Sus scrofa: one gene and its partner. The protein of the gene in region 1 interacts with the protein of each later gene in a pairwise test. Links are inferred from orthologs where the notes say so. Each region holds a gene or a part of one and is shown on either strand. Other genes may lie near its edges.

Evidence for each region.
Region 2: the proteins of VPS33B (region 1) and VIPAS39 interact in binary tests that used the Homo sapiens proteins (3 or more experiments, as listed by UniProt). The link is inferred for Sus scrofa from reciprocal best matches to the Homo sapiens genes VPS33B and VIPAS39.

Annotation. Positions count from the first base shown.
Region 1 is NC_010449.5:55,839,091-55,843,441, reverse strand, and holds the start of VPS33B (vacuolar protein sorting-associated protein 33B), read right to left. Parts: upstream 2,831-4,351; 5' UTR 2,486-2,830; coding exon 2,390-2,485; intron 1,174-2,389; exon of another isoform or gene 1,118-1,173; intron 1-1,117. UniProt on the Homo sapiens protein: May play a role in vesicle-mediated protein trafficking to lysosomal compartments and in membrane docking/fusion reactions of late endosomes/lysosomes.
Region 2 is NC_010449.5:100,493,154-100,496,721, reverse strand, and holds part of VIPAS39 (spermatogenesis-defective protein 39 homolog), read left to right. Parts: intron 1-202; coding exon 203-295; intron 296-972; coding exon 973-1,006; intron 1,007-1,510; coding exon 1,511-1,613; intron 1,614-3,568.

The DNA of each region.
Region 1 (4,351 bases):
AGCAGCTGGTTTATTTAGGTGTGAGATGGGGAAGGAGAGTCAAAATGATTCTAAGGTTTTCAAGCCTGACTAGCACAGCCCTAAGAAGAATTAAGTCAGAGGATGTTAGTTCAAAGATATTACTGCACAGAAATCTGCTTTGACCATGCTGATCACCCTTGTGGACAGCTCTTCCTCAGGACACTCCATTTACAAGTTTCTACCCTTGTTCTCATTTAGTTTCTTTCATGAGCTAGTGACTCTAACCAGCATCTCCTTTCAATTTCTCAGACCATTGGGGTCTTTCATGTGCCAATCATTGTGCTACCACTACAGGACACATTACAGAGAAATAAAATACGCACCTCCTCCCCCTCCCCCGCCACCGAGGTTCTCTGAGGTTCTTCACCCCACTGCAACCCTACATGTCTTTTCTTTTTTGTGTGTGTGGGCTTTTTTGTCTTTTTAGGGATGCACCCGAAGCATATGTAAGTTTCCAGGCTAGGGATTGAACTGGAGCTATAGCTGCCAGCCTACACCACAGCCACAGCAACGCCAGGTCCAAGCCTCGTTCGAAAGACCTATGCCACAGCTTGCAGCAATGCTGGATCCTTAACCCACTGAGCGAGGCCAGGGATCAAACCCGCATCCTCTTGGATGCTAGTTGGGTTCTTAACCCACTGAGCCACAGCAGGAGCTCACCCTACACTTGTATCTGCAGGATATTACAAGCAGGATTTCCTACTAGTATCTTAACCTCAACCTACCCGAACTTGAACACATCAACTTCCCCCACCAAAGCCATTCCTCTTTCTAATTTTTTTTCTCATTTCCATTCAATGGTTATACGATAATTTTTTTTTTTTCCCTAGGGCCACACCCACGGCACAGGGAGGTTCCTAGGCTAGGGGTCAAATCAGAGCTGTAGCCGCTGGCCTACACCACAGCCACAGCAACACGGGATCTGAGCCGCATCTGCAATGCCAGATCCTTAACCCACTGAGCAATGCCAAGGACTGAACTCACAACCTCATGGTTCCTAGTCGGATTCGTTAACCACTGAGCCATGATGGGAACTCCATGTGATAAATATTTATTAAGCACATGCTTAGTGTCTGTCTCTAAGTTAGGTACTCACTGGGTATACGGTGTTGGACAAAATAGGTATATCCCTGTCCTCAAGGACCTTCCAATCTAGCAGAAAATACAAACATTAAACAAATGACTATATATGTCATCCATTACAATTACAGTAACAGCATTATTTTCCTATTAACTCAAGTTAAAAATCTCAAACTCAGTTTTGCTTCTTCCTGATTCTTTTACAACTAATTGATAAGTCTTTGAGTCTTCTTTCACCATGACTTAAAAATCTATCAACTTTCTTTCACTTTCACTGCCATCAATTTTGTGTGCACCTTTATTACTTCAATCTGATCTATGTTCTCCTAACTGGCCTTCTTGTTTCTTATTTACTCAACTTCACACATGGCTATTAGAAACATCTTCAAGTATTGTTTCATGCCACATGTGGAAGTAAGAAAATTTTTTTGTTTTTGTTTTTTGCTTTTAGGGCCAAATGTGCAGCATAAGGAAGTTCCCAGGATAGGGATCAAATTGGAGCTACAGATGCCCACCAGCTGACACCACAGCCACAGAAACTTGGGATCCAAGCCAGGTGTGTGACCTACATCACAGCTCACAGCAATGCCAGATCCTTAACCCACTGAGCGAGGCCAGGGATCGAACCCACGTCCTCAGGGATACTAGTCTAGTCGGATTTGTTACCACTGAGCCACAAAGGGAATGCATGGGAGGAAAACTCTTTAATGGCTGCCTAATACCTACTGTGTAACTTCTGATCACCCTCTTACCTGTTGCAGGACTTATCCTTCCCTGGTTCCTCAACTTTCCTGCAGGTCCTTCTGCCTGGAACATCCTCTCCCATCTCCAAGGAAAATACGCTTATCTTCACACTCCAGCTCTTTGAAATTCCTAGATCACTCTAGCTAGAAATGATTGTTTCAGGCACCCTAGCTAGCACTTATTTACCACACATATTCTCTATGTAGTATTTTGTGTCATATGCTCCCACTGAAGTGTAAGATCCCTAAGGACAGAGATGTCACAACCATCTTTCCATTCCCATTGATGCCTGGCACTAGTGGCGTCTCCCTTGCCTGTTTGGGTAGGGGGTAGGGGGTGGGGGAAGGCTGGCCAGGTCACCCCACGGAGCTCTCACTGCCCTGATTTTTCTCCTGGTGCTTCATTTTGGACCTGCTCCAGAAGCTCCAAGGACAATACCAAGGGACAAGAGCACGCTCAAAGGAACTCAGTTAAGAAAGAACTATGCACCCAGTGAATGCTAACCTGCTGATACAGTAAAGGCCCCGGAGTGGCGGGCACTGACCTGCTCCAGCAGATAGATGAGCTGGTCTCGGGCCAGTCTCTTGAGCATGGAGAAGTCAGGCAGCTCTGGCGCGTCCGGCCGATGGGGAAAAGCCATGGCGCCGGTCACCTGAGCTGCAGGTGGAAGGAGGAGGAGGACCTCCGATCTGAGAAGGCCGGCAGCAGCCCAGGGTCCACGCAGGACGCCTCTTCTGTAGGGACCAGCACGGACTTCCAAAGGGCCCCTGACGGGGCCCTCGCTCTTCAACCACACGTGGGGAATGAATGGCGACCTCTTGCCCAGGCAGCCGCAGCCTCGGGGGACCTAGTCTCAGGCCCGTAGCCAAAGGGTTCCGCCCCGCCCCTCCCGGTCCACCTGGCTCAGCAGCATTCGGGGCTACACCCGCAAAGCTACCCGCCTCCTGCCGGAGAGAGCGAGAGAGGCGACTTCCTGGCCGTCCCGGAAGTCCCGAGCGCCCGCCTGTCGCTTAGCTTATTCAGAAAGGACGGCATCCTAGGAGGGACATTTGAAAACGAGCGCAACGCGTCCATGTGGCTGTCCAATTCCTGACCAGAGGCGATAAAAGGAGTATACCTTAAACTAACTTCTAAGGGTACATCCAGTTCTCCCGGCTCACTCAAGCAAACGTTGGGCACTTGCTCGATTTTCAGAATTTCGTGAAATGGGCGAAACCAACTCGGAATCCGAAGGGCACTGTGAGCCCTGGGGATTTTGGCTGTCAATCAAATCTACAACACAAATTTAGCTGAGAACTGGGCGGTCTCCTTTCTTCCAAACCGCTACAGGTGAGAGGCGTGGAAATTGCGGGCGGGTGTGAGGGGAGAGAAGAGAAACGCTTTTGGAGCCAATGGAAGCTGTCTCGCCAGCTGTGACCCTTCAATACCGGAGTTTTGACTTATTAATGCCCTTCGTGGGAAAATGGATAAAACGGTGGTATATTCATACAAAAATAACTAAGTGAAAGTAGCCAGACTCAGAGTGGCATCTGTATGCCATTTATATCAGGGTGGGGTTTTTGTCTTTTTAGGGCTGCACCGCAGCAAATGGAAGTGCCCAGGCTAGGGTCTAATTGGGGCTGCAGCTGCCCGCTTACACCACAGCCATATCCGACCCTCATTGGCGACATACACCGCAGCTTACCGCAACGCGGGATCCTTAACCCACTGCGCAGGCCAGGGATTGAACCAGTATCCTCATGGATACTAGTTGGGTTCTTAACCACTAAGCCATAATGGCAACTTCTATATCAGGTTCTTGAACACGAAACACTATACCGAAAAAAAATTTCAGAAAAGCTACAAAAATTGGGAAGAAAATTAGGGAATTTTCAGGAGTGATGGTAAATCTCTATATGTATATTTACCTTCTTAAAAAAAAAACTAAACTTACAAGATATTATAATGGACAGATCTGGCTGACAATACTTGTACTTACTAATCAGCTGTAACATCACATCATCATCTCCTGGTGAGATACATAGGAAATAGAAAGCATCACCTGTTGCCAAAAGCCAAAACTGATCAAGCTTCAGGATCTAAACTACCAGCTCATAGGAAACAGAGGTTAGTAGGAACATGATAAAAGACATCAGGAGTTCCCACTCTGACGCAGTAGGTTAAGAATTGGACTGCAGAGGCTCTGGTCATTGCAGAAGCTCGGGTTTGATTTCTGGGCTGGAGCAGTGGGTTAAAAGGATCCGGTGTTGGGGAAGTTCCATATGGCACAGGTGGGGCCATTAAAATAAAAAAAAAAATTTAATAAAGCTCATCTAGTATTTATTGAGCTTCCTCCCAGCCCTTCCCCTTAGTTAGATCAGAATCTCAGCTGCACAGAGGTAGAAGCTGCTCTTGGCAGATGAGTGACACATATATACCCTCCAGGTCATACAGTTTGCCAGACTCTTGAGCATGGCCCCAAGAATGCTGTGAGGTGCCCATTCCACTCACTTTCTCTCCAGCTTAG
Region 2 (3,568 bases), about 45 Mb from region 1:
TGCCTGTTGACTTTGGCAAGACCTCTTCAGGACATTAGCATCTTCTAGGGCATAACGAGTGCTGGGACCAGAGGGTGAGAAGAGAGAGGTTCTCCTTGAGGACATTTCTGTTCATTCTCAGCCATTCTTCAGTGTCCAGTGACAAAGGAATATAGGAAATGGTCTTCTTCCTTACATACCAATTCTGTTCTTACTCTGCCAGGTCTGCTCACTGGAAAGATTCCGCTCCTTACAGGACAAGCTACAACTTCTGGAAGAAGCAGTCAGCATGCATGATGGAAACGTCATTACTGCAGTGAGTTGTGGCTTTTATTTAATTAGCTACATTAGTTTCTGAAAGTCCAGTCAGGATAGACTTTAACATTTTAGGTTAAATGGCAAGTAAAACCCTCGATTTTTCTTTCTTTCTTTCTTTTTTTTTTTTGCCACGGCAGGCAACATCTTGAAGTGGGTTCTTAGTTCCTCAATCAGGGATTAAACCTGGGCCGCAGTGGTGAAAGCAATGAATCCTCACCCCTGGACCACCAGGGAACTCCCTGGATTTCCTTCTTGAAGTAGAGGGTTCTCAAAAGTCCACATTCTAAGGCTCACTTAGCAGGACATACATTGTGTATTGTGCTCTTGATTATGACCCAGAGGCAGTAGGTTGGCTACTCTGTGTTCTTAGAAATAATCTGCGAGATGAGAGATGTGGGAGTAGGCTCTCACAGAGGGAGGGAGGAGGCAGCTCTCGCCAGTAGGGGCACAGGTATGTGGACTCCCAGGACCAGGTTTAATCCCTGCTTGTGGGAACTGAGATCCCACTTCCAGATGTGCATCGCTGGTCCTTCCATCACAAAGAGAGACCGTTGTCTGGACCTGCGGAGATTCCTAATGAGTTGCTGACTTTATTCCTAGACATCAGGTGCTCAGGCAGGGCTTTGTGTTTGGAAGGTTACACAGGCTAATTCATTTGGTTCTCTTTTCCTCTAGGTTCTGATCTTCCTGAAGAGGACACTGAGCAAAGGTGAGTGTAGTTTGGGGAAATCTCCAGTCGGTACAGTGTCTGCTACCTTTGAAGGGAGAATGGCACTGTGGCTTTCATACCAGAATTCACCAGCATGAGGTCTGCTTCTGGGACAGCTGGGGTGACCTGAGACTTCTGAGTACACCTCACAACCCTCAGGGGCAGGTGTTCATCCTTTAGGCTGATAACTGCAGTAACTACAAAGCCCCTCCGTGGACTGGGCAGTTGGGTGGCTGTGTTGGTTTGAGGAAGTGAGTGTCCAGCTCGGTGCTGCTGTTTGGGTTGGTGCGAACTGAAAGCTGACACAGAGGCTAAGCGTTGCCCTGGACCGAGGAGTCTGCTGCTGGTGGATTGAGCCAGAGGGATGGGCACCATGGAAACCATTCCAGCCTTTAATGGACTTTGAGGAGATAATGTTTGGAATGTGTGAGTAGGGAGACCAGTGTCCCGTTGAGTAATAGGCTCTAATCTTTGCCCACCTAACTCCTCCTTCTTGCCTGCCAGAGATCCTCTTCCGAGAGCTGGAGGTGCGACAGGTTGCCCTGAGACATCTCATTCACTTCCTTAAGGAGATAGGGGATCAAAAGCTGCTCTTAGACCTCTTTAGGTAAGAACTGATCATCTGGTCTATAAAGTTTGTTAAATACTTTGTTCAAAGCACTCTGGGCGATAATGCGAAGAAAGAGAAGACACTCTCTTTTTTCTGGAAAGGCTTATTAGACGAGATATTGAAAGGTGATGGATAACTCAGACTGCACCACAGCCTGTGGTAAGGTGACCGTGTAGCAGGTGGTTACGAGCCAGGGTCTGGAGTCAAGCATCTGCATTGAATATTGACCCCACTGCTTAGTTCATAGAGTGACTCGGAGCAAGTTACCTAACCATTCCAAGCCTCAGTTTTCACATCTGTAAAAATGGAGATATCTACCCTATAGGTCATTATGAACATTAAAAAAAAAAAATGTGTATTGGAAGTTCCTGTTGTGGCTCAGCAGTAACAAACCCGACCAGTGTCCATGAAGACTTGGGTCAGATCCTTGGCCTCATTCAGTAGGTCAAGATTGCCGTGCGCTGTGGTGTAGGTCACAGACGCGGCTCAGATCTGGCTTTGCTGTGGCTGTGGTGTAGGCTGGCAGCTACAGCTCCAATTCGACCCTTAGCCTGGGAACTTCCATATGCTATGGGTGCAGCCCTGAAAAGAAGGAAAGAAAGAAAATTTTTAAAATGTGTGTAAAGCACTTGGCATAATGCCTCGTCTGTACTTTTAGTATTTACTAAGTACTTCTTTACAAAAGGCCTAGGATAAAGGTATCTTTTATTACTTGGTACCCGGTGATGCCAGAGAGAAACACAGTGGAAGAACAGAAGAAGCAAATATAATTTTCAGTCAGCATATCTGAAGAGGGCCTGTGGAAGTGGTCAGGAACTGAGCTGGGCCTATGAGACTAGGTAGGATTCTAGTAGGTAGAGAGGCCAGAGGTGGGCATATCCGCTGGAGGCTGGGGTTGGTGGGGTTTTGGGGAGCGGGACAGCTGTCTTCCATCCTGATTTCCTTTCCTATCTCACTTTAGTCAATAGGGACTCTTTTCCACTCTTAGATTAAAATGTATGTATATTATGTCCTTTCTTCAATTGGAACCTCTGTTTAGGCTGACCTGTGGCTCAGGGTAACTCCATTTACCCAGCGTCTCCAGCACAGTGATTAGCTGCCCCAAAGACTAAGGTGGGGAAAGCAGGTTACCTGGTCGGGGTCAAGGTTACAGATGATTAGCCAGGTATTTGCAGATGTGTTCACCAGGACAGGCTGTTGCCCACACCCCTCCCTCATTCCCTCCCTTCTTCCTTCCTTCCTCTCTCCCTCTCTCCCAATCAACAAGGCTTTATTAAGCATCACCTCTGTACCAAAGTAGTGATGTTAATTTTAGTGGTCCATTCAGAATAAGACAGAATCAGAAGACAAAAGTCCTTGTTCTCCAAGGCCTTGCCACCTTTGGGGGAGAGACAGAACACATTGTTTGCTGAACATGAAAACAACAGAGGACAACACAGACAATCTGTTTCCAAGATTGTACTGACAGAGAAGCATTTTCATTGTTTTTTTGTTTGTGGTTTGTTTTTGTCTTTTTAGAGCTGCACCCGCGGCACATGGAGGTTCCCAGGCTAGGGGTCGAATCAGAGCTATAGTGCCGGCCACAGCAACTCCAGATCTGAGTCGTATCTGCTACCTACACTGTACGTAGCTCACGGCAATGCCGGATCCTTAACCCACTCTGCAAGGCCAGGGGTCGAACCCACATCCTCATAGTTACTAGTCAGGTCGTTACCTCTGTGCCACCACAAGAACTCCAAGTTTTCATCTTTTAAAAATAACCCAGGAGACTACTGTGGGCTAAGGTTTGGTGGAGGCGCTGAGCCTTTCTGTCAGACCTGGTAACGTTACAGTTGCTAGTGCCCTGCGATGTCTCCTTGTCCTTGCTTTTCACTCAGGTAGAGGGATCGGACACTGCTGATGCCTGATCCACCATGTGTGGACACTGCTGATGCCTGATCCACCATGTGTTT